Linked DNA regions of Danio rerio. The protein of the gene in region 3 interacts with the protein of the main gene of each other region in a biochemical or structural test. Links are inferred from orthologs where the notes say so. Each region holds a gene or a part of one and is shown on either strand. Other genes may lie near its edges.

What was found.
Region 1: the proteins of rbx1 (region 3) and ddb2 form a complex in vitro, tested with the Homo sapiens proteins (2 studies listed by BioGRID, with this or other methods). The link is inferred for Danio rerio from reciprocal best matches to the Homo sapiens genes RBX1 and DDB2.
Region 2: the proteins of rbx1 (region 3) and ube2g1a form a complex in vitro, tested with the Homo sapiens proteins (8 studies listed by BioGRID). The link is inferred for Danio rerio from reciprocal best matches to the Homo sapiens genes RBX1 and UBE2G1.
Region 4: the proteins of rbx1 (region 3) and ube2f form a complex in vitro, tested with the Homo sapiens proteins (2 studies listed by BioGRID). The link is inferred for Danio rerio from reciprocal best matches to the Homo sapiens genes RBX1 and UBE2F.

The regions. Positions count from the first base shown.
Region 1 is NC_133193.1:21,858,465-21,866,087, reverse strand, and holds part of ddb2 (DNA damage-binding protein 2), read right to left. Parts: intron 5,676-7,623; exon of another isoform or gene 5,536-5,675; coding exon of another isoform or gene 5,530-5,535; intron 4,471-5,529; coding exon 4,304-4,470; intron 4,012-4,303; coding exon 3,912-4,011; intron 1,951-3,911; coding exon 1,773-1,950; intron 1,677-1,772; coding exon of another isoform or gene 1,659-1,676; coding exon 1,531-1,658; intron 1,450-1,530; coding exon 1,294-1,449; intron 1-1,293.
Region 2 is NC_133180.1:31,601,209-31,609,303, reverse strand, and holds the start of ube2g1a (ubiquitin-conjugating enzyme E2 G1a), read right to left. Parts: upstream 4,642-8,095; 5' UTR 4,524-4,641; coding exon 4,478-4,523; exon of another isoform or gene 3,952-4,477; intron 3,880-3,951; exon of another isoform or gene 870-3,879; coding exon 767-869; intron 359-766; coding exon 261-358; intron 1-260. UniProt on the Homo sapiens protein: Accepts ubiquitin from the E1 complex and catalyzes its covalent attachment to other proteins. In vitro catalyzes 'Lys-48'-, as well as 'Lys-63'-linked polyubiquitination. May be involved in degradation of muscle-specific proteins.
Region 3 is NC_133178.1:23,847,035-23,855,356, forward strand, and holds the start of rbx1 (E3 ubiquitin-protein ligase RBX1), read right to left. Parts: upstream 4,319-8,322; 5' UTR 4,284-4,318; coding exon 4,206-4,283; intron 2,693-4,205; coding exon 2,614-2,692; intron 1,776-2,613; coding exon 1,705-1,775; intron 1,619-1,704; coding exon 1,533-1,618; intron 1-1,532. Other genes in the region: chadla (chondroadherin-like protein), read right to left, coding at 6,449-6,794, 7,757-7,923, 8,026-8,322. UniProt on the Homo sapiens protein: E3 ubiquitin ligase component of multiple cullin-RING-based E3 ubiquitin-protein ligase (CRLs) complexes which mediate the ubiquitination and subsequent proteasomal degradation of target proteins, including proteins involved in cell cycle progression, signal transduction, transcription and transcription-coupled nucleotide excision repair.
Region 4 is NC_133176.1:8,068,444-8,076,066, reverse strand, and holds the end of ube2f (NEDD8-conjugating enzyme UBE2F), read right to left. Parts: intron 7,589-7,623; coding exon 7,531-7,588; intron 5,319-7,530; coding exon 5,286-5,318; intron 5,197-5,285; coding exon 5,134-5,196; intron 3,857-5,133; coding exon 3,806-3,856; 3' UTR 2,397-3,805; downstream 1-2,396. UniProt on the Homo sapiens protein: Accepts the ubiquitin-like protein NEDD8 from the UBA3-NAE1 E1 complex and catalyzes its covalent attachment to other proteins. Together with the E3 ubiquitin ligase RNF7/RBX2, specifically neddylates cullin-5 (CUL5).

The DNA.
Region 1 (7,623 bases), on a different chromosome or scaffold from region 3:
TATACTTGCTGGAAAATTTTATTTCCACAAACAGAGTTTTTTTTAATCACATTTTTATAGACTTCTTATGTGAAATAGAACATTTAATGAAATCACTTAGATTAATTGATAATAAGAAATGTGATTCTGTCTCGAGTAAATATGATGAGATCTTTCATGCTACTTCAATTTTTTATGTTTTTATATTGCATTATAATAATTGCATTATATTGCATATTGCAAGTTGCATGTTTTTTTATGTAATTTTTTTGGCTTTGCTCTTAATCCTGTTTATCCAATGTGAATATTGTGTAAAAGAACTGTTATCTTTTACTGTATTCTAAGTTGTATTATACGGTTACTTGAAAGAAAATAAACAAAACTGTGCAGATCACATGTTTTTTGACCTGAACGTAGCTTTACACTGAACATATCTGAATGTAGCTTTACACATAAAGATGGTTCACAGAATTAAACTGCCTTCAGATAATTAAAAGTCATTTTTAAAATGTTCTTATGCCAACATCAAAGATTCACTTGAACGTTAAATCATCAAACAGATGCCAGTTAGATCGCTCCATGCAAATACCCTAGAGCAGATGCTAGCCAATCGGGTTTACGCAACCCTGGAAAAGCAATGTGATTGGCTGTTGTTCTCTGCGAATCATAGACGTGGACATATTTTGTAAATGAACCGTGAAGCGCGCAGACACCTTGAAGAACACACTCAGTATACATATAGTTGAAGTTAGAATGATTAGTCCCCGTTTATTATTTTCCCCAATTTCTGTTTAACGGAGAATAAACAGACATTTTTTTTACGCATTTCTAAACAATAGTTTTAATTACTCATTTCTAATCACTGATTTATTATCTTATTATCTATATTATCTTTGCCATGATGACAGTAAATAATATTTGACTAGATATTTTTCAAGACACTTTTAAACAACTTAAAGTGACATTTAAAGGCTTAACTAGGGTAATTAGGTTTACTAGGCAGGTTAGGGTAATTAGGAAAGTTATTGTAAATTGAAAATGTAAAAAATGTATAGCTTAAAGGGGCTAATAATTTTGACCTTAAAATTGCTTTAAAAAAATTAAAATGCATTTATTCTAGTCAAAATAAAACTTTCTTCAGAAGAAAAAATATTATCAGACATACTGTGAACATTTCCTGGCTCTGTTAAACATCATTTGGCAAATTTATTATTATATTAATTTCAACCATTAAACAATTACATTAAAGATTCCAACATTTGAGTGGTAGCATGGTATAGTATAAATAGTTAAAAAAAACAACAGCATGCTTACAGATATGATACCAGCTGCATTGGGGTCTCTCAGCTGGTGCACAAGTCCACCACTGTTGGCATCATAAATGTCAATAGTTCTTTTATCATTGAGTAATAGTTGATCATCTGGGTAACGGCCAGCCACAATGAGGTCATACATGGGATGCCAGGTTGCCTGAAAAAATAGAAAAATGGAGCAAAGTATAACCATGATGTCAGCAGTCCTGTAAAGAAAGAAATGCATTAAATTTCTAACCTTGATGGGAGTCAAGTGCTGAAACTGCCGATGAGGATGAATAATTATTTGATCCGGTTTAGACCAGTCGTATGAACTGTACACCCTGATCTCATTCCTCTGATCAGTAGTAAGCAACTTGGTGCTGTCTGTCGGGTTGAAGTATGCTGACAAAAATAGTTCATTTGAATGTATTAGTATTTAAAGCTACTGTACAGGTGACTTTCTCCTTTCCTCACTTTTCTGATAATATGGTCCCTTACCAGCATTGACTGGTTTTTCATGAGGCATCTCAGCGATGTAACTGTTTTTGTCTTTAATATTCCGGAGGTCCCACAGCTTGACTGTAGCATCAACAGAGGATGTTGCCATCAGCCAATCACAGCGAGGGTTGAATTCGGCATGGGTCACTTTGGCTTTGTGCAGCTTCTCTTTGAAAATCTAAATATATTTTTGGGCAAAAAAATTAAAATAATTGAAAAATATAAATCAACTCTCAACAGCTGTGTTTCCCAACCCTGTTCCTTAAGGCACACCAAAAGTACCCATTTTAACCTCTTTCTAATCAAACACACCTGAATCAACTCATCAGAACATTAGAAGAGACTCCAAAACCTGAGGTTAATGGGTCAGATAAGGGAGACATCCAAAATATGTACTGTTGGTGGGCCTCCAGGAACAGGGTAGGGAAACACTGCTCTACACAATAGTAATAAAAACCTTAAAATGTCCCTGTCCCCCCATAAACATGAAACAATATAAATAATCAAATAAATAAGAGCACAAAGAATTATCTTAATAAATAACGTGCATGTTGCCATTAAAAGTAACAATAGTTTATCTTTACAACCAAAAATCTTATCAGGGATATTTAGAAAAATAGAATAATTTGATGACATATTAAGACTTTTATGGATCCAAAATACTAAGTTACAGCATCAAAATACTAATTTCATTTGCATTTTAAATATTTTATTTTGCCACCATCCTATAAATTATTAGGCCTTGTACAAAATGTATTTTAGTATAACATCTTCAGGCCATGTCAGATCACACAATTTTTATCTTCGGATATTATAGTTACTATGTCAGATTATGTGATAATTTTTCTTGATAAAATCTTGACTTGTGGTGGGTGACCAGACTACATGTTCCTTCATGATCAGTCATTCCTTGTTGTCTACATTGAGCGTTTTGTCTAAAAGCAGTCACAAGTGTGTCTATAACTATTTTTCTTTTAATCTCAATTTCAATGTTTTTATTTCAATCTCAATAAACATTGAAGATTGCTGACAACTAATAACTACATTATTTGAGGGCATTCGTTATGACATGGATAGGATCAATCTTATAATTAATTTTTACTATGAAGATATTTTCTTTAAAATCTAAAATGTATATTTTCCTGCCAGGGTTGCTTATACAACACACCCTCGCCTGAGGTTTCTGCGAGTGAGACAGAAAAAAGGAAAGCACATCAGCTGCAAGGAAAAATCAGATGCTCAAGAAATAATCTTTAAAATAATGACCAATTTAAAAATTAGCAAATATATGAGGTTTGTCATACAACATTATTACAAGCATTCATTAAATCCTTTTTTTCCAAAGAGCAAACCCAATCCTCCACCCATATAGTTGAGTAATGGAGGGGCACAAACAAACATATAATGTATATATTTTTTATGGAAAAATTATCTTTTTGAAACAAATTTAATTTGCTAGAATTTTTATCTTAATTTCAATGTAATGTATGTTTTGTTGGTTAGTTATCTAGAAACAAGAATAACCAATAACATTTGAGGTGAAGTGCTTTGAAACAAGTCTATTATATGTGCCAAAACACGTATTGACTGCAGCACTCGCTGTTATAATTTATATATATGTTATATAATTATGCACTCCTATTGCACAGTGTCACGCACGTGACGGAACACACCGTGAAGAATGCAGAAAAAAAATGAAACATGCTAGACTTTCTGCAATGGTGTCGTGAGGTGTTGCAGGCATGGTATTGGTTGTAATGAACTGTGCCACGTTACATGAGAAAAAACAATTGAATCTTGTATCACGACGCAACACCCTACGTCAAGGAAATCGTGACAAATTCTGTGAATGTGACTGCGGTTTTATTCTCACTCACTCACTCACTTTCCTTTGGCATATTCCCTTTTTTTATCAGAAGTTGCCACAGCAGAATGATACACCAATTACTCTTGCACATTTATTTTTAAATATATATGTTACCCTAAATCCCAATGTAATTATTTCACCGGTATTTTGACATTTTTTTATCATATACTACACTTGCTTTTAGTATGCTTTCTGTGTATACAAAATACAAATCAATTTTGTAAATTTTATTTGACGTGGAATCCAAAATGGGACGTCTCGTTTTTGTTTACCTCATGACCATCCAGGCCAAGAAGGAGAAGTCTTCCAGTACTGTCCCCAGTAGCAAGCATCTGACGGCTAACAGACACATCCACACAGCAGTACCAGTAACTAGGAGAGTGAAATGCGTGGCATTAAAACAGTATACACATAATTACATAGAATCCTATTTATACCTAATAATATATGGCAGTTGAGGTGAAAAGGTAGAAAAATATTTTCAAAGTAGCAAAAAAAAGAGACTTTTTCTGATGTAAACATCGCAAACAATCTCAGTCCAGAAAACCAACCTATCCTACATGCAGTTATTCCCTCAGAACAGCTACAAGAAATACGTAGACACCACCACAAATGTCACACAGCTGAAATATTTACAACACATTCACACAAGCATCATCCTCACCAAAGATCATGGTGGTCATGGCCACAGTCTGGGGTACGAGACAATATCTGACTTTGGAGGCCCTCAAAACTCTGCACGCTGACTGTGCCATCACCGGAAGCCACAAAGACTTTAGATGAATCTCTGGGGCAGAACTTCATACCCCCAATAAAGTCACCTGCTCCCTTCTGGATGGACACAACAGACAAAAACACGCTCATTAAATGTGCCAAACTCAAAATGGCTGTGACGATGCTGGACTCAATAGGCAATGATGACAGTGGGTTGAACGATGATGACAATGCAACTAAACCAACACAACAACATAAAGAAGAAGGTTCATGTTAACCTTCAAATATACATTTTACTAGTGGTCAACAATGATATTGAGCATATTATCTCAACAAACAAACATTACCTTAACATAAAAGCAACAAAATTATGACAAATCAAGACACTGACACTGAACACTGTCATGTACAGTATAGCTAAAAGCTAAACAAAAAAAAAAACAAAAACAAAAAAACAAAGCTATGATTTCGTCCTCTGATCTATCACAGCGTTTATCCAACTTCATACCAATCAGAAGAACAACACACAAATACATATAGTACTCACTTGATATTTGAAATGAAACTACCAACGAAAACAGCCTAAGCTGGGTTTTGCCAGTCTGAGTGGCCATTGCGATATACGAGTGTACACGGGGAATAAAACATTTTAAGGTTAATCCACTTTCAATCACATCCAGTGGTAGATAAAAACACATCCTGGATTGCTCTTGTAGTGTAAACTGTGTACCAATTCTTGTGGTGTAATGTGGTCCAACGTGTTCAATCAGCGACAAAATAGTAATTCTTAAACTAGATGCTGTGTTACTAAAGCACAACCCATGCTGTAAATCAGCTAAAGAAACAGAAATGCCCGATAAAATAACAGATTATTGAATTTGATTAAAGAAAACTGCCAGTTTTTGGTACTGCAAATCTTTTTTAAACTAACTAGGGCATAAGTCTAAAACTCGATTCCTGGAGGGCTGCCACTATGCACAGTTTTCTCTGACCCTAATCAAACACAGCTGACGCAACTAATTAAGATGTTCAAGACTACTAGAGACTATTAAGCAGGTGTGAGTTGGTGATGGTTGGAGCTAAACTGTGCAGAGCTGCGGCGCTCCAGGAATTGAGTTTGAGACCATTGGACTAGGGGGAGAACGGCCTTAACTGCTATAACAGGAATTCGCTTACTCCCATGAATCTGTTTTGGCAAAGACTTGTATAACGGATCCACTGAAATCCCGAAGGGTAGTAGCACCCCAAATAGAGGAGACGAACAGCTGATTGGTATTGAACTGGTTAAACTTCATGCCTGTTATTGCATCTCCAGGACCCATCTAGATGAAGAGCAGAGGAGAAAATCTCAAGTCACTAAAACTGCATTTTTTAAAAGTTTTTCTGTATTTGTGTGCTAATCTGAAAATGTTGAACTTTACTTTTACTTCTGAAGATGTTTAAATGGCTAGGTTGCCTTAATGCCGTTTCAATACCCTGAGACCTTTGTTCATTTTCTGAACATTACTACTATCTACTGAACACAAATTATGATATATTAGATAACATACGAGATCCCCTTTGTTCTGCATGGATATCAATGGTCATGTGATGTTCAAGTATAAGTAAATGACCAAAAACCTTGTCAAGACACTCCATGTAACTTCAGTGGTGATGTAAACATATGAAGCTTCGAGAACTCTTTTGTGCACCAAAAAAAGGTCAAAACTATTATGTTTTGCCAATGTCTTCCACATCAAGTCAGAAAATCTCGAGACTGTTGCTGTCTATGGAAGGTTAGAGAGCTCTCGGATTTCAACTAAAATATAAATTAGTGTTCTGAAGATGAACAAAAGTCTCAGAGGATCGGAGCACTATAAGTGTAAGTAATTATTACCAGAATTAAAAACAGAACTCTTAAAGAGTATATAACTAACCATAAGACTATTAAGTACATTAATCTGAAAAGGAAACAAACATAAACTTAAAATGAATTAGCTTCGAATAGACCCCAGTGTCTATAGTAGGGGTGCCCAAACTCGATCCTGAAGGGCCGGTGTCCTGCAAAGTTTAGTTTTAATTCCAATCAGACATACCAGGTCTAGCTAATCAAGCTCTTACAAAAAATTGTGTCCGAAATCGTATACTTCCACACTATATAGTACACTAAAACAGTATGCAAGCCAAGTAGTATGTCTGATATCATAGAATTTAATAAACAGTATGCGAGAAGTACCCAGATGACCTACTACTTCCGCCGGCTGGAAGTGCGATATGCACATTAATATAGCAGCCTTTTTTATGACACTGTGTGACAATAATTAATATCTGTACAGTACTGTGACGGTTGGGTTTAGGATTGGGGTAGACCTTAATAAAATACAATAAATGGGAAATTTAATAAATAATATAAACAATTCTTGTTAACTTCTGGCGGCAACTATATCCGATCTAGCAACAACCGCTTTAGATAGACGCTACGATATTCCATGATACACCACAAGAGAATTTATGAATGGAAGCGACGCAACTGACACAGGTAGGTCACATGATGATGACAAAGGCCACACTGACACTGTCAGGTCTTGATGCCCAATTTTGATTTGTTGCCGATATCTGATTTTTTTGCCTGTCCGTAGCCAATTCATATGTTTACACTTGCCATACAATTTACGCTGTTGGCACGCGTAAAGGCGGGTTCTAGCATCTGTGCCACACTAGCCATGATGGAAGAAGTTGTCTTGCTTTCAGCTCAGCGAAATATGCAAAGTTCGCCCAACTTTAATATGATTTTAAGGCGGAGGAAGAGAAGGAGGGAAAGAGCTGTCATTACATGCTTGCGCCTATGGTTTATATATGGTGTCCTCCACCATTCAGAGGGATCTGTGGCTACGACAGAGATCTCATGTCTGGTGGGAGCAAATTGTGGCGGGCTTTAATGAGGAGTGGCGGGTCTGAAATTTTAGGATGAGCACACACGCTCTTCCTTCTATGTCATTAAACCGCAGAGAAGTACAACATTGTCAGAATTTTAATGACGTACATAACGAAATGCCGCAATAAATCCAATCTGCTTCTTTACATGATAGTCGCATTGCCACATATCTGATTTACAGTATGTTAGTTTTATTTTCACATATGATGGAGGCCTGAAACTGATATCCGAATATCTGAATGCATTCATTTACACCAGGGGTCACCAATCTCGGTCCTGGAGGGCCGGTGTCCCTGCAGGGTTTAGCTTCAACTTGCCTCAACACACCTGCCTGGATGTTTTAAGTATACCTAGTA
Region 2 (8,095 bases), on a different chromosome or scaffold from region 3:
GAATTTATAACGAAGTCTGTCAGTGTAAATTCGAAACAGTTTCCATATCAGCCAGAGATTCAAAAGGATTTATAAGAACAATTCATATTTGATTTTTTTTGGAAATCTGCAACCCATCCCTCCAACCAACTAAAAAAAAAAAAACACAAAAAATTGTGTATTTATTCAACGATATTAAATGTATGGCTGACAAAATAGTAAAAAAGTATAAATAATTAAAATATATTAAATATTTAAAAGACCCTAGGAGGCAAACTTACCATTTGGATGCCATATTTCTGTAATGAACTTCATTTTAGGAGGCCTGAGAGGATAGTCTTTGGGAAATGTAAGATGGGCTTTAAAGACACCACCCTCACTGTAAACAGAAAAATATAAAAGGCTTATAATACTGTGATTGAACAACCTTTAAATGAAAGGCAACAGCTTAAATTGATTCAGTATGGCATCACAACAAATACATAAACTTATTCAGTTAATTTCCCATTGCATCATGACTTAATACTACAACTGCACTGCTACCTGCCTGATACACTGTGTATTACCATGTAATAAAGCTTTGGCGCATTGTAGATTGTATAAGATCAAGAAATAAACTTGACCTGACCCATCTTAGATTGTGAGAATACCTATACTGTAGCTCTACACAAGTAAATAATGTCAATTTACATTTTGCATCATCTAATTCTTTAGCTGATTGATAATAATTTAATTTTGGTGAGGTGTCACACAACATAACATTTTATAAAACAACAAAAAGACTTACTAGAGTGTATCAGGAGGACCAATTATTAGTACTTCCCATCTGTAGAGGTCATTATCATCTATCAAACCGGCTGAGAAACCTTCCACAGGATTTTTATTCAGTTCTGTCAGGAAGAGACATCAAGGTACAAATTAGCCACTTTGTACAGAAAAGTGTTATAGATGTGACATTTGCAGTAAAAACGTAAAACAAATTCACAGAGAAAGTATGAGTTAATATTATATTGAAACATCGGTTTATATTTTACAAAACAACCAACCACAGTGTCATGGGCTCAGAAAATATCAATCTGTAAACATATTTTAAATGAGGAAAATAAACATGAGGTTTATGAATGTGATCATACTTTTGGCTATTTTGGTGAAAACTTTGGTTGACAATTGCATGGAACTACTCAAAGGGCAAATTGGGGCATTTCAGGGCAGTAGGTGCATACATGCCTTCACATGAGTTCTGATAGTTAGACCTACATCTGGGCAACATTTCAGACAAGAAATGACCAATTTGCCTGTCTGTTATCAGATCAGCTGAGCGACTCTTTAGTCACAGAACGCCTGTCTGTTTGTTCAGATACTCTGAACTTCTGTGTGTTTGCAAGAAGGAGCACAACAGAATATCTGGAGGTTGACTGCATGACCACCTTGTAGTCATAAACAAGATGACAGTTGGGTTATCCAGTCATATGGATGTGTCATTTTTGCACATGAATCACTAAGACAGTCTGGCATTCATATGAAGAGTCTCTTCTGTCAAAGCCACCTTTTTACCACTATCTGATGGTTATTAAATGACTCAATTGTATTTTCAACAAACCTACTTCCAATATAAGAGTGCTGAAGTGTTATTATAGCAACACTAGGGCTGGGCCAATAAACTGTATTATATCAAATTGCGATGAAGTTTGTGTCAATAACAATGATAAGCTTTGGACTTTTTACTCTATATTGATCTAAGAGCCAATCACACAACAGAAATGTGCAACAACGAGAATCTAAAAGTGTGTTGATGTTAGAGATGTCCCAAAATTTTCTGCCACTGAAAAAGTATCGGCTGAAAATATGCTATGCCATTTAATAGACCCTCTAATTTTTGTGGCTTCAGTCATTGCTGGAATACTCTTTTAAATCTGGAAGCATTAACAACTGGTATCGCAATATACATCGTTATCATTCAATATGCAAAATAATTATCAAGATTGCAGTTTTGCCATATCGACCAGCCCTAAGCAACAATCACACAAATAGCATAAAGGGCTGTTCAAACCAAGAATGGATGACAGCCACTACTAGAAAGGTTTACCAACCCTTCAAATTCAATTAGAAGAGAGATGTCCACACAGCAGATTTAACAATAACACCACAGATATACAATATCATTGGAATCACTTTCAGAGAATTTCCTGTCAATGTATGTTAAAAAGCTTGACAGGCAAAGAAAACCCACAAGTTACAAAAGCATGCGCATAAAGTGACATAACAGTAGTGCTTTTAATAACAGAACATTATCTGAAGGCAAAAAAATACATAATTTATTTACTATCCTGCAGTCCATTCAACCAGTGTATGACTGACTTTCTTCAGCCAAGGTTTTGGGGAAAAGGAAACAACTCTTCATCTAATGCTAGTGAACAGGGTTCAACTAAACCATTTGGTAGTTGTATTAAATTTTCAGGAAAAATGCAGTGAGCGTTATTTAAAAAAAAAAAAAGAAACAGAAAAGATATTAACTTACTTAATCAAATTTATTTTTAAATATTTAGAAATTAAACACAAATTTTTCTCTAGAAAAGCCAACCTCTCTCCCAGGACAAAAAGTAAACAAAAAGATGAAACAGTATGCAAAGATAGAACAGTAAATCAAATGACCTTAACTTTCTGTAAACAAGTTCAACTTAAGTTAGCGAGATAGTGTAGCGTACTATACAAACAATAATAATAAATAATAAAAAAAAAACACTCAGCAAACTAACATGTCTGAAACAACTCTGCAGTTGTACTATGCTGTTGCTTGCTACTAAATTGAGTGTCCCTGGCAATACTTTCAATTGACTTTTTAGCAAGACACTCATCACTCAATTGTGCTCACTAATTTGTCTAGTAAGACTGTCACAAAAACGCAGTCACGCGTTTGCTCTGGACGGGAAATAAATGAATTAAAAATATACAAATATATCTTCATATTACAGCCTCTTGTGATTAGCTAATCGCAACATTTCAAATGGTGACTGCAATTAGATTTCGATTAATCACACGGCTCTAGTAGACGCTGCAATGTTTTTACCCAAAACCTTAATTTTTTTTCAACTTAAAGTCTCAAAACATGTTTAATAGCTTGGGGTGGGTAAAAAATTAAAGGTAATTTTTGAGTGATTTCTAAAAAAAACCTCTCTACACATGGCATTAACATCACACAAGTTGTGCCCGCATTTTCCTGGCCCGTATCTTTTACGGGCCAACATTAATGAACGTTGTGAGGCTTTTGTTCTCACGAAGGGTTCACTGAGTTTAGATCAAGGCTGATGAGTTCACCATGCTGGTTCTTCTGAAAGGAGACAACCAAAACAGCCCCTGACCCCCTGAATCAGTCAATCAAGCGCAGGGCCTCTGCAGAACCTGACGCCATGACAGGCCCGGGGTGCCGCTCACCCTGCGACCCTTGGAAAGAAACAAGCGAGTTGCTTTTATGTGTGTGTAAGATGAGTAATTTGGGGGGATGGGGTTGCTTGAGCTGTCTGTGGCAAAGAGACAGCTGTCATGTAGCAGATCTGTTGTTTTGCTTTTTAATTGATCTCATCAGACCCCCAAACTCAGGTAATCTGCCTAGTTTGACCCCTATAACTAACTCACTTCACTGGCTGCACTGCGCAAATGGGGCCCAGTGGAGAAATCCTCCTCTGGTTGAGCTCAGTAAAGCTGACACTCGCGGATCATATTGCTCAGTGTGTGTGTGCTGGGCATAGAACAATAGGAAACACTCATAACGACTCTAATAAGAGCCAATTTCCCGCACAGGTCTATGGTGACAGAGACTATGGGTCTCCAGTTCTCGCTGTACCGGTGAGCTGGTGATCAAACAGCAGCCATCAATTTGTTAGCTTTAGCCTGCTAGCCAGCCTAGAAAAACAAAGGGATTTGATCAACCCGATGCGGGGTAATGGCACACAATATACGGCTTATAAATCTCACCTTTAAACCGTGCGATAATACTATTGGTTTGACGGACAACGATAAGACAGTGAGCAGAAATTGGACCAATGACAGACTTTTCCTCCATTTATAAGATGACTGGTTCTCTTGCGGAAACTGCGTCCGGACACAGATGTCAAAACACGGGGGTAGCCGATCGAGAGCGGCCCCGCCGGTGTGATACGGAAAAAAGTGACTGACACTTATGTTGACATGAATAAACCGAATAACACTAAACAAACGTGCGCGTATTGTTGTTTTAATTATGTTAGAAAAACTCTCATGTTGATATTTTAGCAAGAGTAGTACAAAACTAGCATTTTAAAATAACAAAAGACGACGGGGCTTGCCTTTAGCCGGCTATTTTAGCTGCTAACATGCTAACTAATGCTGTATGATAAACACAGCGCTTGTTAGCGGCTAAACTAGCGGCTAACGGCTAAAATGCTCCGTCTCGGGTGTACTGGCTGGCTAAAACGTTCACCGGTTTGTTAGCCTGCCTTCGCCAACAGCCTTCAAATATTACCTGCTAGCTGTCTCCTGAGTAACAGTGCTGACTGGGGCTCCGTCATGTTTTTATAAGTTATATTCTAGGTCGACAGACGTTCACCTCGACAAGGAGAAAAAATATGTTTGAATTTGCTTGCGCGTCTTCCCGTCTCTGTTCTAGTCCGTTTTGCTCAACATTCTGATGCGGTATGCGCATGCGCTCTGCTCTCCGCGAGGCCGCGGCGAGAGTGTGCTCCAGGGTACTTATGGGCGGAGGATTCGCGCATGTCAGAAACAAATATGCTTGTTTTTTAACAAACGGCGATGGCATTGACTGCGAGATTAATTATGTTATCACTTTAGTGACGTTGTAGGTGAGTCTAATCAATTGTCTCGTTATAGCGAAAATCTGTAATCATACATTTATTATTGCTTTTTCTTTTCGCAAGTGCCATTTTTATTAGAGAAAATTGATTGTTGAGGACAGTACAGTGTCATTCAACCACTAGGAGACAGTACAGCGTAATAATAAAAGTCAAAATGTGTGATAGAGGCGATCCTTATGAGAATCATCCACTTACACACAGCTCTCATAACCGTTCATGACACTTTAACGTCTTGGTTGTGTATTTCTTACTAGCGTGATAAAAACATTTTATTTGAAAACATTTTTTTTCGAAAGACGTCTCTTTTGCTCATCAGGACAAAAGTAAAATAAAAATAAAAACTTTGAAATGCAGTTTTTAGTTAAAACAACTTCTCAATTTGACTTTCAAACAAAAGTCAATTGACTAATTCAAAGTCAATGCAGAAATGTCTGCTGTTATTACTTGTTTCCAGTGTTGCATTATCTTTCAGGGATCAATCTGATAGGCTGATTTGCTGCTGAATATATTTTTTTTCTGATTGTTATCAATGTTCATTTATTTTTATGGAAACAGTCGTATATTAAGAGTACAAGAGTAAGAGCACAATTCAAATCATTTTCACAGATACATTAAATTAATTACATGTGACAGTAAATATATTTAGGTTTCAAAACATTATACTTCAGTTCAATTGTGTGTGTGTGTGTGTGTGTGTGTGTGTATGTGTGTGTGTTTTTTTTTTAAGTTAAAATATCCACTAAAATTAGCAGAAACATTTAGTTCTGAACTGATAAAATGAGAACCAGTAGTAATGATTGAAGACCAAAATAATTCAAGAAGACTGGAGTGACAATGTTTCGAATTACAGAAATAAATACAATTTCTTACATTTTACATCAATTACATTATCAATGAACAGCAAAGACTTTCAAAAACCCTGACAAATCATAATATCCCCAAATATCTGACCTGCAGTGTACATCTTGTCAGAGAAACTGCACAATAAAGACCTTAAACATGATTTTTTTTGTCTTATTTAGTCTTTACTGTGGTTGAATACCGCTGTACTTTCAATGACAACAACTTTCAACTAAATATAAATGGCTTGCAAATGATATTATGTTCTGAATAGTGACTCTAATTTAATTTCAGTTTATTATGTGTCTAACTTCTTGTTTATTTAATCAAAATCCATAAACTTTGTTATTATGGCAACCCACATCAAATAATAATTTATAGTGCATGCAACAACACACATGCAAAACATTTAATCATTATTTGAAATACACGAAAGACATGATGACAGGTCAGTGGTTTTAGGTAAAAATTTTACATATTGTGTATATGTAGATTCATTCATTCATTCATTCATTCATTCATTCATTCATTCATTCATTCATTCATTCATTCGTTCGTTCGTTCATTTATTCATTCATTCATTCATTCATTTTCCTTCAGCTTAGTCCCATTATCCATCAGCAGAATGAACCGCCAACTTGCGGATGCTCTTCAAGCTGCAAATTAGTCCTGGGAAATATCCATTCACACAGATACACCACGGCCAATTTAGCTTCTTCAATTCACGTACACGCCTTAGGACTGTGAGGGAAACTGAAGCACTTGGAGGAAACCCATGCCAACACAGGTAGAACATGCAAACTCCACACAGAAATGCCCACTGACCCAGTCGGGACTCAAACCAGCAAGTTTGCTGTGAGGTGACAGTGCTAACCACTAAGCCATCGTGTCGCCCATTTTACATACTGTAAAATATATTTTACGTGTGCTACAATGAATGACTGTTTGTTTTAGAGAAGTGGTTCGGCAGAGAATTTCACAAGAATGGCAACATTTGCATCATAATGGAAGCACCACAGTTTCGCCAAGTTTCTCATTTAAATTAAAAAGCAACCATGAGAAAAATAAATAAATTGAAAACTGTAGAGTGGGAAGTACTGCAGCACACCCGATTATAGCTTGGAATGATCAATCTACTACATAAAAAGCCATAAACTTTACAGAGTTTATCAGACAACACAAGATTAGGTTTCCATTTGAGAAAGTTCCCTCACGGGTGTGGATTTTCCAGCAGCTCTGTCTGCAAGACCTTTGTCCTGGTGTTCAGAACATTAGCCTGAAACATAATGCCAAACACCCTGGCAAAACTGGGTAACAGATCGATGCAAAGCAGAAAGCATGATGTGAGTGCATAGATGAAAATCTACGGGTTTGTGGTGTATAATGCAACAAGGAGGAACTGTTCATCTGCATGTGACCAGAGGAAAGGGGGCGGGGCTTGATTCTAACTTGATAACCCTGCAGCGTGCTGTACTCACACAGGAATGCATTTCTGTTGTGACATCTCAACGAACACAGAAAAAAGACAGAAAGTGAGAGAAGAAAGACAGACAACAGAAAAGATGGATTAGAAGAGACATTGGAGCACATAAGCTGAAGCGTAAGTCATTTTACATTTACATTATGAAAATAGTCGAGGTGTTATGATGCAAAAAATGAATCAGTCTCATTGTCAAGTCTGCTTCATTCCAAATTGAGTCAAAAGCTGAACAAATATATGGCATTGTCCTGCTGTGGTCATACTCTGATAAACATCACAACAGTGGCATTGTTGGTAGTCCGCTGAGGATCTCAGACCTGAACTGAACCCTGAAGTCTGATGAAAAATAAAAGCTTTCTTCATAATTTGATATGAGTGAGTAAAACACATGTATATGAGTTCAGTTTAAAGAGTCAGTCAGTGGGTAAGACATTTTAAAGTAAAGTGCTCTTCCTGTGTTAATATAGGGTCATCATAGGTCTAAAATAACACCAGTTTGTGGGTTAGGATGGAAACGAGACAGCTTGCTGGGTGCAACCAGCAAGATCACAACCATCTTCAAGATAACAAGTTCCGGTCTACATTCCATTCTCATAAACTGTAGGTGTCTTGTAGTGTAAATCCCCCTCCCCCGAAAGACAATTATGATTAAAAGGCATCATTTGCCTTGAATTTGCTACCAGGAAATGTGCACACTGCCAAGTAGCTGCATCTACTGTATATCCGCAGTCATGTTTTTACAGCAACTATAACATAGACGCTTTTTATAATTTTTTAATAGCATGTCAGGACCAGACCTTTTTTGGTATTTCTGCATGGAATTTCGTGGAAAAGATCTGTGGATTTATGCAGATAGATTTTGAGAGCATAGGAGCTGAAAAACTAACAAATAAAAATATAAATTTTTAAAAATGTTTTAAAATGAGGTTCTCCTGCTCATCAAGGCTGT
Region 3 (8,322 bases):
ATCTATTTTATACAGTGGCCTGTTGAGCAAATCATTTCCTACATGTTTTCTGTAGGAAAATCTAATCTACAATTATAATGATGTGCTTGTTTGGCATTGTACTGGTTTCATCAGACATTGTTTTCTATGCTTTATTGAGTTGTAAGTATTTACAGCTTTAGATGTACATCAGATTAACACTCAAAATCACCATTGTCTGTGGATAAAAAGTGTTGAATAAATGTAGAGAAATACTTCATTAGCCATTCATTAAGACATTAGAAAGCAATGCAAATGGTGTACACCCCACATCTAGTGAATATGGAGCAATTTCAGACACGGCTCCTGTCTTAATGGAATAGTTCATGCAAAAATGAAAATGTGTTATCCTCTACTTTTAGCCCCGTTTGAGTTTCTTTTTTCCGCTGAAAACAAAAGAAGCTTTACTGATAAATGTTGGTGGAAAGCAGCCATTGACTTCCATAGTGTTTTTTATTTTATTTTTGTTCATACTATAGATGTAAATGCTTGTTTTTTCCCCTAAATTCTTCAGATTATCTTGTTTGTATCGAGAAGAAGAAAGAAAAACTAATTTAAGTGTAGAACCACTTGAGTGTGGGGAAACAGAGGAAATTTTAAATCAGTGAGAAAGTTTATCAGGCCCACTGTTCATTCACTGTTTGGGCAGTTGGCCAGAGCTGCACTCCAATTTGGGCTTTAGGTTTTGTTTTGCATCCATGCACTAGCGCTGACAACAATCATTCACTTGCTTTTCACACTGATTGAACATACAGATACTGCTGTTTTGATTTGTTATTTACAATTGTGTTAGGATAAATATTATTTTGGACTTTATTTCACTGTGTCGTCTCCCCTAATGCTACATCTTTGAGCCAAGTGTAACAAAGCAGCTGATAGGTTTAGAAATCTGTGCTAATGAATGGATCATTGCATCACTTAAATGATTCATTCAAAAATAGATTCATTCAGGAATGAAACTAAACTGTTTAGTTTGTTTTAAATATTGTCTGCTGTGGTACAGGAAATAAAGTACAATACTGCATCTAAAATATAGCTGACTCATTAACTTACATTACATATTCAAATCTTCTGACTCTACAATGGAAGATTGGAAGAACAATGCTTTAAATCTATTTTTTATGTTTTGTGCCAAGTAGCTGTATAATAAGTGGAATAAAGTACAACCAGGCAGGCATCATCACAGAATAAAGCCTTTAATCCACAAAGAATGTTGGGCTTGATTCTGTGATAACCGTCTGGATGTACTTTATCCCTTACATCATAGGTCTCCAACTCAATTCCTGGAGGGATTCCACAGATTTGCTCCAACCATAATCAAACACAGCTGATCCATATAATTAAGGTTCAAGACTACTCTTGAACACTTTCATTAGTTGGATTAGCTGTGTTTAAATAGGGTTGGAGCAAAACTGTGCAGAGCTGCGGCTCTCCAGGAATTGAGTTTGAGACCTATCCCTTACACGAAGCTTGTGAATTTGACTTGATTTGAATGAAGAATCAAAAAGACTTACTTCTGAAACTCCCACTCTCTGTTGTCCAGTGGACACACTTGTCTGGTCTTCAGCCAGCGGGAGATGCAGTGGAAATGAAAAGCGTGCTGCAGACACACACAAAAACAAACACACCAGCATTACACCAGCACCAAACAAACCCAGAGCTCAAAGTGTGTGTGATTATACTCACATTGCAGACTCCCCAGGCCACCGTACACTCCTCTGAGGTGGCAGACGCCTGATTGGCCTGACACTCAATACCTGAAGCAAACACAAGAGTTACAGATCAGCTACAGCTCATCTAGACCAGTGGTTCCCACAGTGGGGGTTAAACTTTGACACCTTTACAGCTTTCACATACATTAAAAATAATACAGGCTACAACAGAACATGGAGCAAGCTCTCACAGTGGCAATCTCTAAAATTAAACAATGAATAGATTTGGGCCTACTGGTATGTGTGCAAGGTTTAAATATTCATCACCACCTTAGAGAATATTGGGGGGTCGTGAGTAGGCATGGGCCAGTATAAGATTCTGACGGTATGATTACCTCGGAAATAAATTTCACAGTATCACAGTATTGAGTACCTCACAGTATTGAGTATTTCACAGTATCACAGTATTGAGATAACTGCTCTAAAATATAATCTTTTTAAATATCTGGGTACAAAACAAAACCCTTTTCCCCTTTGTACACACTATATGTAAATTTGGGAAACATATAAAATGTTTTGGAGAAGTAAACATGTCAGGCTAAATAATTCTAATGAATTATTGACTTCTGCTGTCTTCATTTGTTTTAAAAAAATCTGATTATTTTTACAATTTAAAAATGGCATCTTTGGATATCTTTTCTGGAGATACTACTGTCCTAAAAATAAAAAGTAAAAAAAAGATCGAACTCATACCTTAGGAACGGTATAGGAGAAAATTTTGAAGGCTTTAAAACCTTGACCTTTCCAAACCTTGATATACATTGAACACGGTTTTCATCCCACGGCTAGGCGCGAGTCACTGGCATTGTTATTTTGGGGGTCGTGGGCTGAAAACACCTGATCTAGACTAAACCTAAAAGACTAAAGCAGCTGTTATACTTACAGAGGTCCATAATGTGATTTCTGCAGATGGCACAGTTGTCCACTACAATGTCCCATGCCCACAGAGCCACAGCGTTCCACTGCAAGACAAGCAGAGTTTATAATCATAATCTTTATTAAAAATGCTAACAGCACCTTTTCTCTTAATGACACATGTACAGACACAAACTAAGCCTAAATATCCTCCACCAATGAGCAGCGCTTCCACTCAGTTATACATCATAATGAGGAAGAAAAGAAGCCAGCAGCCATAACATTTGTAAAGGAACATAGTGAAAATAAGTTGTGAAAACAGTATGCGAGTACAGTATGAAAACTTATTTTAAAAACATTTTTTAAAAAGTATATCTAAATTCAAACCGTTCACGGTGATCGTTTTGAATCCAGATTACAAATTGGTAATCTGGAAACCAACTACAATATTCCACAAAAAATATACATTCAGAAAGGGTTTATGATGCCTGAAACTGTTGGAATTGAACATTGAGAATGAGCTTGCAACGCCTCACACTGTTGGAAACAAATATTTGAAACAAGTTTGCAATACTAGAAACTGTTAAAAATCAAGCATTTGGAGGGTGTTTTCAATGGCTGACATTGTTGAAATCAATATGAAAATGAAATGGAGTAACATTAGGTATAATATCTGTCTATAACACAGGTGTCAAACTCCAAAAGGGTCAAGTTCCAAAAGGGCCGCAGCTCTGCACAGTTTAGTTCCAACCCTAATTAAACACACCTGATCAAACTAATAGAGTCCTTCAGGCTTGTTTGAAACCTACAGGTAAGTGTGTTGGAGCAGGGTTGGAACTAAACTGTGCAGGGCTGCGGCCCTCCAGGAATTGAGTTTGACACCCCTGGTCTATAACATTCAAACATGTCCGTACCTAGCTTTTAAAAAGGATGCACACAAGTCAAAATTTACTTAAGTAATAAGTATAACATAATTTATTGTACATTGTATACACTTATAGAATGTTCAATTCCGTGTGTAATATGTGAAATTCACTAAAATGTTTGCATCGAACTTTGAGGGGGGTAAATGTGTTTAAATGGAATGTTCGGAATGTCACTATGGTGACTAAAAGTGATGGAAACGAACGTTGGGAACATGTAAATGACGTCTACCGATAATCGAATAGAGCGTTCGGAATGCGTCTATGAACCTCAAACGGTTAGAATCGAATGTGCTGTAAGCGGCTGCAGTGTCCACAAATCTTGCCTAAAAAACTCGCCAAGGTCTGGGAATGATCAGCGCTGTATTTCGTTCTTTAGTGGCCTACTTCAATAATCTCTGGGATTACGCTGCAGAATTTATCGGAGTTCAAATAAGAAGCACATTGGGCGAGCATGTAACATATTTTTGCTTGACATTAGCTTGTACTCATTTTTGTGACACTTTATGAGGTTTTTGTAAACATGAAAAGCATAGAGGCCGGTGATTAAAATGATGATGTGAAAGAGCAGCGCGGCTAATGCTAACTGGGTTTAACACACCGCGGTGAAAGAGTGTTATTTTAATTTTAAAGAGACTAAACGGATGTGAACAAACAGTTGACAGCAATCATTAACGTGAACTTCACAATTACTTACCTTTTTCACTTCAAATCGCTTTTTACTGGCTCCGCTGTTAGCTCCACTTGGGGTGTCCACATCCATCGCGGCCGCCATGTTTGCTAATGTCTGATGATCTCGCGAGAAAGAGTGAGAGTGAACAGCTACTCGGTTTATAATCTTTTACATGTAAACGTGTGAATTAAAGCAATTGTGTATACTATGATGTTTTTAATATCATTCATATATTTTTTTTTATTCCAGTTTAATCAGACACAATCTAGTCCAAATTACAGTCGAGTTAAAAGATTAGGTTCCACCGAGATTTGAACTCGGATCGCTGGATTCAGAGTCCAGAGTGCTAACCATTACACCATGGAACCTGTTGGAAGCTAAGGCCCACTGTTTCCAGATTTGTACCATCTACAATACCCTACCACTATTATAAACTACATTGTCGGAATCCTGCATATTATATAATTATGACCGTGTTCAACATACATCAAATCAGTGCAGTGCAAGTGCAGAGCTTTGAAATGATACAGGAGATTACATGTTACCAGGATTTACAGATAACATTAAATGCCATCTATATATTTTTTTATTTCACATATTCATATTTGCTTTTTTTTGACAAGTTTTGCGAACAGCTACCATGTAGACTTATGTAAACTATACACAATTCGTAGTTTTTCCACTATTTTACACATTTGTTTACATATAAAGTGACGTTACTGGAATGCTCAACCGACTTAACATGTAATATCATACAGTTAAGTGCGTGACAAATATATATATATATATATATATATATATATATATATATATATATATATATATATATATATATATATATATATATATATATACATATACATATACATACTAACACACACACAAACACACACACACACAAAAGCATATAACGTTACACAAGTATTTTCAGAGGCCCCAAAACACTATTGTTGTGTGGATGCATTAAAATTGCACAAATTTTGATTCAACAAAGATTCAACCAAAGAATTACCTGTAAACAAATCTGCAGAGCTACTACCACATAGTAGCTAGCTAATAATTGTATTGTTTAAACAAAAAAACACACATGTACGACTACTTAATCCTAACAATATAGTCATCAATATGTATATATTTATCGTTATCTCTTAGTGTGGGCAAGCCAGCATAAGCAGTTAAAGCATTTAAAGACAATAGTTACTTAAGAAAAAATATGATCTACAGACTTCACACAGCCTCCATTTTAAAAGCGAAAGAGAGTCTGCAGTGGAAATAAACCTGGAAGTAACGCCTGGAGTCACACAGGAACGGCATCCAAGATGGCGTATTGTTGTGTACCTGGATTTATATCTTATCAGTGAACACAAATTTATAATTTCACCACTTTCCGAGTGACCCGAAGGTCCTTTCTGAATGCATGGTGAAAATAAAAAGGCATATCGGACCTTATTTTCCCCTAAGTTAAGGGAAATGGCACTAGTTAGCAAATGTTTTCTTTCCACCAGTGCTTAACAGAAATGACTGTGATTGGTCGTAAAGGTCATCAGTTCACTGCACTTCACCAATGTTTACAGAATGCAAACGCAGACAAGCGATCTGCTGATGACTTGACTGAACTTTAAAACGCTCCAGTGTCCGTGTATCTGTGTTTGCACTTGTGAAGAGAGGTAAACTGATGACAATCACCGCCGATAACAGTAATTTCACCGCAGATCAGCGGAGTTTAAAAACGTGCTCAACGGCGCTTAAATGCTAGCATGTTAAATGTTAGTTTTTTAAATTTCAGTACCGGGACAACAATATTACTGACAACACAATGGTGTGCTAGAGAGGACTGCATTGTTTTATCGCTCACCGGGTTACATTGGCTGAAGCAGGTAAGCGTCCCCGCAGTGTTTACCTGGTTCCATAAACTGAAGCCTAGTAAGACACTTAAGCGTATAACTTTAAAAGAGATTGTGGTTTTGTTTGAGGCCTAATGTGCTTTTTTTTGTTAAATTAAACTTAACTGAATGTTTACTCCACATCTACACTTTGAAATCGTGGAAACAGCAAGAGGTTTGTACTCCACAGCATGTTGTGGAGTACATGTTTAACGTGCTGATCCTATTCCTCTGGGTTTCTTCCCACCGCAGCCTCGCTTTCGCTTTCATTTTTAAAAAATGGGGGCATATGGACTCGTGCACTGGATTACCCGTAAACAAATCAGCAGCACTACTACCCCTTAGTATGATATCTATATCGTTTAAATCAAGAAATCCTATTGCTCATATCATTGGCAACTTCATTTTTGGTCGTCTTCTTTTTTTCTTGTTTGGCCTGGTCATTTTCAGAGCTCGCTCTGGTTTGAATTCTTTAGATTTGGTTTTCTTTGGTGTCGCAGCTATCTTTGTCTTTGCCAGTTTCAGTTTAGCATAAGATGGTTCTGTGGGCTGTGTGGGGTTGGGTATGTTGGGTTCATGGGCTTTGGTTGGGATGGAGGTCTCATTAAAGGAATGAGCATTTTCTATAGAGCAGTTCTTATAGATGGCAGACTCCATTACAGACTGACCTCGAAGCTCGGAGGGGTAAAAGCACACCGCCTCAACCCTCAGACTCATCTTCTCCAACCATCTGAAAGAAAGTTGAGATACATGCTTACATGCCTAAGTACTTAGTGATGAATGTTTATTTTGAAAGGCTTATTTACCTACTACTGATAATTACAGAAAATTCAAGATTACAAAATCAAACAATATAAAAAAACAGATAAAACAGGGCTATTTGACTGTGTTAATTGAATAGGAAACATATAAACATTAGTTTTATGTCTATTTTTTTTGCTATGGTAGGAACGAAATTGTCGCCACATATTCCTACAGTAAGAAAGTATAGTGGGTTTAAACAGGTCAACCTTTAACAGCAGATTTATTTCACCATCAACTCACAGTAACCTAAATATGATTTTATCATCGGTTCCAGACACTTAAGCCCCAAGGATATCCAATTCATTGCTCATTTTGAATCAAATTGAAATTTCAATTAATCATTAAATTAAGTTAAATTGAGTTTTACTCTGATTTAATCATCTAAATCAGTGAACCTTTAACTAGAAACAATCACTGTATTCTATTTGGAAGGTATGATCCTTAAGCCCTAATCTCTTTCAAGGGTTTACACTCCAGACAAAAATCTTTGATGGCATTCTGGTATAGGGATGAAGACACCGGCCCTCTATGACCGAGTTTGGACACTCCTGCTCTAGAGGAATTTTTATTCAGATTTGCATTCTGGTATAGGGATGAGCTAGAATAAAAGGAATACCATGTGCGACAGCAATCAACTTCCCTGCGCAAAGGATGGGGTCCCAAAGTGGCCATTGGTTGTGCCATTCAATTTTGAGCACTTTATTTTGGAATGGCAATTTAATATGGCTGCCATTATTGTTTTCTCTCCCAAGTGTCCTTTGGAGTGTGATAGATCCCGTTTGGAATGCACCATCACTCTGACCTGATCATTTAAATCACTGAATCATGAATGTACCACTACATCTCAAAAGATAAACAGAGAGACAGATAGACTGACGCACAGATTACCTGTAAAATGGTAGCAATTTGCAGTCACACATTAGTGGATTTTTGTTGAGACTGAGGTTTTGAAGTCCAGCAAGAGGTGAAAGGTCAGGCAACTCCTCCAACAGATTGTCTTCCAGAGACAAAGACAGCAGACGAGGACCAAACCCTGCCAGAGACCTCACACTCATCTGTTACCACCAACCAAAGAAAGACAAATAGCTTAGTCTAGTATAAACACAAGAAAGGCAAAGATTTGCTGTTATTACTTCAAAACAGGGCATCTCCTCTACCTTTTGAAGACCCATTCTATCAATGAGCAGGTTCTTTAGACTTTCAGCCACCACGCGAAATGCTCTGGGACCGATCCAGCGAATCAGATTCCCAGAGAGGTGGAGCTCAGTCAAAAGAGGGGCGTGGTCTAATGCATCACTTGGCACATCCGTTAACACATTATCTTCAAGATGAAGAACGTCCAACTTGGGAGCAGGATCCAGAGCTTTCGGCACTATAGTAGCGATGGAGTTGTTATTGAGGTAGAGTCCTGTAAGCTGAAGGACTGGAGAAAGAAGTCCTGAAGGCTCTAGTTT
Region 4 (7,623 bases), on a different chromosome or scaffold from region 3:
AACGCCTATCTACACGTGTAAAAACTAGAGGAAAAAATACGGAACTATTTTTGAGACTATAGCGCCATCTGCTGCAAAGAAAAAGACTAACACAATGGTCGTGTCCAAAACCTTTGTTCTGAATCACATATTAATGCAATAAGATAAGAAAGTCCAAACTCGGTCCTGGAGAGTTTATGTTACATAGGGGGGATCTTCTACATTTACAGATGTTTTGCATTGAAGAGTCAGTGTGGAATCTTATTTTGTGTTACAAATAAGAAAGGGGATGAAACATTAGCACATGTAGGTAAATAAAATACTTATTGCAATTTTTGGGTGAACTGACTCTTGGATACTATTGGATAGTATGTGTATTTCATCTTGTAATGTATAATAGCAGGGCACGTATTCAAACACAACCTACCTAGACTGCACTATGGGCACAACATTGTGCATTACATTATGCCAATAATTCCATCTAGTAAGTTCACCAGGTTTTGAGACAAGTAAAAAAAAAAATAATAATAATAATAATAAAAGACAGAAAAAGCTTTAATTAAGAGATGTCCAAACTAGGGCCCACAGGTAAAAGTTTTATTTGGAACATTCCAACCGAGAAGAAAAAGAGAATGATGGGGAGAATGCCTTTATCAGAGATCATCATTTCGAATTCAACATAACCTTTTTGGCTTGTTTGTTTTACTGTTGGGTTGAGGTACAAAAAAAGCAAACTTAAACGTTTCAATTAAATGTTGAAAATGAATCAGATTTTTTTCTTTAAAGAAACAGTCTCTCGACAGATAGAGGACAACTCAAAAAACATCACAAGAAAAATCAATGCAAAAGCTGGACTTGTGTATTGTGTAAGAATTGTCGACTGTAATAAATTACACACACACACACACACACACACACACACACACATATATATATATAAATTATTATTATTATTTTTAATTATACTGCATTAGTTTATATAAAGCAATGTTTTCTAGTTTGTTTTTAAATATTAGAAAAAATAAAGTAGTAAATTACTCATGGCAACTCTATTACAGTGTGCTATATTTACCTTCTGCCCACAGCCATCACTGAAGTTTGGATTTTGGCCTTTCATAAGGAAAAGTTTGGGCACCCCTGTTTTAATTAGTCACTATGTGATATTTACTTGCCAACATAGGCATATGAGCTGCCTAACACTTTTGTGCATCATTTGCAAATTAGCTTTTTTAGTGCACAAAAAATGTGTTTTTTAGGAAGCTCGCTAAATCGAGACACTGCCAGTGCTAATGGACGAAGGTCTACATATACATTTCCAATCACAGTGTTAGCAAACCAGTTTTGTCATTATAGACAAACTCACATTAATGCTTGAAAATGCGGTCTAGGTAGTAAACTCACTCAATTTTTGAGACAAAACCATTGATAAAATACGCTTAAAGCTTATGAGAACAAATTAAATGCAACTCACTCCATTTGAGACAAAGCCATTGATAAATACACGTAAATATTCTGACAGGGGGGTCAAACAGCTGCCCTGCACAGTTTAGTTCCAACACTCCTTCAACACGTACCTGTAGGTTTCAAACGAGCCTATATGACTTAATTAGTTTGAACAGGTGTGATTAATTAGGGTTGGAACTGTAGCTGCGTTGGTGCGTCCAAATTCGCAGTCTATCCATCCTAAATAGTATTAGAAACTAGAATTAGTATGTCCAAAACTATAGTATGTTGAAAAGGGTATAAAGGTTTCTGGATGGTTTACTATTTTCGGTAAAATCTCTTAAGGTGTACACGCGCCTACACTCTAATATTGCCCACAAAACTACAAACGGGGGGTAAAAAAGTGTAAACAAACTACCAACATGGCGGACGCGCGAGACCAACCATCAAGTAGAGGCTTCAGTAAAGTTGTTTAAAAATGACTATTAATTAATATTTAGCCAACTGCAACATGTTTAAATCGCGTTTTCCTAGTTATATTTAATCTACAACAACAATGTGAACTTATATCAAGATATGTTTGGACATTAACTTCTCAATGCATATCATTACCTAAAAAACATGAGATTTCCCTGCATGAAGACCCATAAATGGCGGATTATCCTGCTGCTGTTTCTCCAATACGGAAGGTATTAAATATCTAAGAAATGTGGATGATGCGTCGAGATGATAACTAAGCAACATAACAACAAAGTAGCTTGCATACTCCTCTGTTACACACTCAAAAGTATATACTTTTCCTTTACAAAACAAGTACACACTTTTGGGTAGTAGGTTAATATAAGTATGTGAATTGGGACCTTGCATGTGAAAAGCTGCGGCCCTCCAGAAACCGAATTTGACATGTGGCTTATGAAAACAAATTATAAACGCAAGCTGTAAAAGTGTACACACAAATTACTCCAAATCTCCTTTTAGTGGTAGAACTCCTCTTTAATATATTTTACAAATGGATATACACCTCCAAGGAGAAAAAAAGTCAAATTAAATAAAATAAATCCTCACTAATTGAACAGGCTTTATGGCTGAGCGGTTCAGTAGCCCAGTGCATGCTACCAGATCAGACATGTTTTAAAATCTCCAGTCACTCCCGCTCAAACACCCACACACACACACACACATACTCTCACTGTCACACAAACACAATACTAGCATACAAGTAATCTCGTGAACATGCACACATCGGTAAAGCTGAACGTGTATACACTGACAAAAAATGCATACAAGAGCAAAAGGTGAATCTCATGAAGCCAGTTCAGAACACATCCAGGTAATATTTCACCCCAAAATCTAAAGTAATATGCGGTGATAAGAATGTTAACAATTAAGCATAATTTTCCCCAAAATTTGCATTGCTCTAATGCAGAGAAAAATATATATATATTTATTATAGTTGAATTTGGGGGAAAGCATGCTTGGTTTCTCATTTAAACGAAAACAAATTTTAATTTAAAGGAAAATATATTTATTTGATTTTCCTCTTCGATTTCGAGGTGAAAATGGAAGCTGAACGTTCATGAGAATCACCCACAAACTTCTCACAGATTAGAACTGAACTAAAACAGTTTGGTAACTCAGAGGCACCCACAGATATTGTGATATTTGCATGTGTGCACATGTGATAGAGTAGTCTGATAACGGCGGTGACTTTACATGACGGAACGTGCCGAGTTTCAAGAAATGGCTTTACAGAATCCGTCCGAAAAACCACCGATATTTTCTGCTTGACATCAGTGCTGTATGTTTTTTTTTTTTTCTTCTTCTTTTTTCTGATTCCTCATTGGTGGACTCCTCCCCCACAGCAAACAAACAAATGAACCAATGGAGCTTTGGGATTTCTATGACATCACTTATGAACAAATTAATCTCAGTGTTTGTCAAGTTTTAAGAGGAAGCAGGCTGCAAAAGTTGGCTCATGATGTCCAGTTATATGTGGCAAAAACACAGAGGCACTATAGAATATAGGAGGTGACATCAGAGAGGCTGCGCGGCCTTGTTTTCATGATCACCATCTTTGTACGTTTTTTTTTTTTTTTTTACTTTTCTTTTTCGTGGGGGAGTAAAAGCAAAGTTGTTTGAGAAGATCTTTCAAAAATAACACCAAAATAATAATAATAAGCCATCAAAAATAGACAGTACGGCCCTGATCCTTCCCAAATATCTTGAGAAGTGACTCGCAGTGTCATTCAACACTTATTTTAACTTGCTTCTTCCCCCCCCTCCCCGAAGAATGTTTTAATAATGAGATTTTGCCTCGGTTGCAGTCTTGATCGACGTACATCGGTCACATGCATGTGAGAGTGGCTCGCGTGGCAGACACACATCATCTTGCATAGTTTTTGATGAAGTCCTGAACTTTGTTCCTGAAATCCTCCTAAAACAGAAAGCATTAAAGAATTTTCTGTACATGTGTATCTGATTAAAAAGAGATGGGAGGTATGATTATGTATAATACATACAGTTGAAGTCAGAATTATTAGTCCCCCTAAATATATTTTTCCCTAATTTCTCTTTAAGATTTTTTTTCAACACATTTCTAAACATGATAGTTTTAATAACTTATTTCTAATAACTGGTTTATTTTATCTTTGCGATGATGACAGTACATCATATTTGACTAGATATTTTTAAAAATACTAGTATTCAGCTTAATGTGACATTTAAAGGCTTAACTATGTTAATTAGGCAGGCTAGGGTAATTAGGCAAATCATTGTATAATGTTGGTTTGTAATGTAGACAATCTAAAAAAAAAAATATTGCTCAAGGCAAGGCAAGTTTATTTATATAGCACATTTCATACACAGTGGCAATTCAAAGTGCTTTACATAAACAGGAATAAAAAAGACAAGTTTAGGACATAAAATGCAGACAATAAAAATGATTAAAAACAGATAAAAACAATTTAAAATGTGTTAAAATAGGCTATAAAAGAATGAAAAAGAAAACGAAAAACATAATTGTGCTATCTGTCGGACGTAGCACAGTGCTCATACAGTAAAGCAATATCTAAGTGTGAACTCTTGAAAAGAAACAAGAATACAAAAACAAAAACAACAAAGAATAAAAGTGATTGAAAACAGATAAAAACAGATTGAAATATGTTAAAACAGGTTAAAAAGGAATGAGAAAAAAGAAAGACGTAATAGTATGATCTTTCAGATGAAGCACAGTGCTCATTTAGTAAAGGCACAGCTAAACAGATGTGTTTTCAGTCTTGATTTGAACATGCCTAATGTTGGTGCACATCTGATCATTTCTGGAAGCTGATTCCAGCAGCGAGGGGCATAGTGGCTGCAGGCAGATTCACCCTGCTTTGACTGCTTTGACTTTTGGAATTTCTAGTTTATATGATCCTAAAGATCTGAGTGATCTGTTGGGTTTGTATTCAGTAAGCTAATATTATTGGCCCTCAAAATGTTTTTACATTTACTTTTATTCCAGCTGAAATAATATTTTACAGAAGAAACATATTATAGGACATACTGTGAAAAAAATCCTTGCTCTGTTCAACATAATTTGTAAAATATTTGAAAAAGAAATTCAGGAGTTGAATAATTTTTAATGTATATGCAATATCCGCATTATTTAGTTTTTTTCATAGCAGTTATGCTTTTAAAGGAAGCATGTTTTAATATGTGTTGGTGTTTTACCTTATCTCGTAAATGATGCTCTGCTGCATCTATATTCAGTGGGTCATCAAAGTTAAGAAGATCCTGTGAGAGAAATTGAAACTTCTATTGCTTGTTTTTTTTTTTTACACAGAATGATGACATAAACATTATTATCTAAAATCTGTACTTACAGTGAAGAGTGAATTCAGTCCCCATACTACATCCTACAGACACAAAAAACAGCTCTAGTCATACTCTCAATACTCCATCCAGATTTAACACAAAATCCATGACTTTTTTTTACTAACAGTTGATTTTTTTCTTGGTTAATGGAAACCCCATGATTCGCATACATTTTGAAAATGTGCATAAAAAACTTATGAGCACAACTGAGTAGGATAAACGTTTTATTCGATAAGAAAAGATGCGCATAAACTACAATGGAAACAAATTTCAGTGTGTGCATTAAAAAAGGTCAGGTGATTTTGTGATAAGAGATCATGTGATGATGCAAATGTGTGTAAATGGACAAACCATCTGAAATGTTGATTTGGTCATTCTAAACCCCCTTACTGTTAATATAGTATTCTGTTATTATTATTGACCTCCAGAGTCAAGAGCATCTGTGCTCTGCATCTGATAATGTCAAACGCCACCGTGTGTTCACTGTGTGTCAGGATTGCCTTCTGAGGCGCAAGTCATTTATTCGATGAAGATTGACGCAGCTTCTCCTAAGCAAATTGTGTTTTTACTGTTGATATTTGGCACCAGTTAATCAGGAAGTGAGGATTTTGTTCGCTTTGACTTGTTGGATGGAAAAACTGCTTTATTCGCACGTCTTTTATGCGATAATCCAGTTTTGCGCATAAAGTTCATTCACATTTTTGGATCGAAACATAGCTACAGTGACACAAGTTTAACAAACATGAATTCATATTGAGTAACTGGTCCCACTTTATATTAAGTGGCCTTAACTAATATGTACTTACATAGGATATAATAATTTGTTACAATGTACTTATTGTGTAAATACATGTGTTTACTGTGTACTTATGCTTGATTAAATACATGTCTGTAATTACATCTGTAATTAACTTTTGTAATTACATTTGTAAATACACTGTTAACCATACCTTACACCTTAACCCACCCTTAAACCTACCCATGCCCCCAAACCTGTCCATAACCCAACCTCTATCCCAACTCAAAAGCACCACAAGTGCTCTCAAATACATTATAAACACAGTAAGTACTTTATATTTATTTTTTAATGTAAGTACATAGTAGTTAGGGACACTTAATATAAAGTGGGACCGAGTAACTCACATTTAAGACAATTTTTAGTTTTTGTTTTGGCAACAAAAATAATTCCAAACAAAGCTAAAGCAGAAAACTTCTAGAGCAAATTAATATGGTTTTGATTAAGGGTGCTTTCACACTTGTGAATCGATTCAGTTGTTCTTGCCCTTTGCTCTTGGAGCGGTTCGCTTTCACACTGCAAAGTTTCTAATCGGACCAAAAGAGCTAAAACAAGTCACGTGCGAGTAAACTCTCCTTACATTGGTCAGAGTGTCAGGGTTTATTTTGCAGCATCCCTCTCAGCTGTCAGGAGAGGTGGTGGTTTGGTGGTCATTGACAGGGTGCGCGCGACGTGTCTGAAGAGAGACGCGGTGGGGAGGGGTGAGAAGGGTGCGCGACGATGCCTATTTGGGGACCGGGAGGGAGACGCAAGATTACCGGGAGATCATCACTTGTTTGCGGGCATCCGGAGACTCGCGAAACTTCCCGCCCTACTCATAATTCTCTCTTCATATATAGCCGTATATGCCTATTACATATCCATAAAACAGAGTGATATAACCGCGCTCGGATCGGATCGCTTTCTCACTGCAATCGAACCGCTCCAGGGTTCGTTTCAATCGAGCCGAGACCACCTCATTCAAGCGATTTCGGAGCGATTACTTTGGCGCGGAACAGAGCGCGATTGCCCTGTTCACATATGCCAAACGAACCGCGCTAACTGGGCAAACGAGATACGTTCCGAAACAAAAGTGTAGGTGTGAAAGCACCCTAAGTTGATGGTCCAATGATCCACTCAATAAGAGTCTGTTGCTTCAGTTCAAAATGGATCATTTGAAAGAATGACAACGATCCCTCATTAAAACAGACTTGCTTCCACCTAGGGGTGATATTAGTGCCTTATTTATTCATGGAAGTTCTAAACCAGACCTGGAGTGCCAGCGCAAAAGAACACTCAGTAAAATGACATTTTAAAAATGCCAGTTTATGGAGATCGTCTGTGTCAGAATCATACTTCCTTATTAAAACCCAAATGTTTAGTTATTGAAAGAAAGAAAGAAAGAAAGAAAGAAAGAAAGAAAGAAAGAAAACAAACATACAAATAAATTCCCCAAGAAGACATAAAAAAAAAAAGACCTTTAGAGTACGAGTGGGTGCCCATCCAGTACCATCAATTGAATGCTCTCGCAATAAACTGTGGAGAGATTTTAACAACAACATAAACACAGC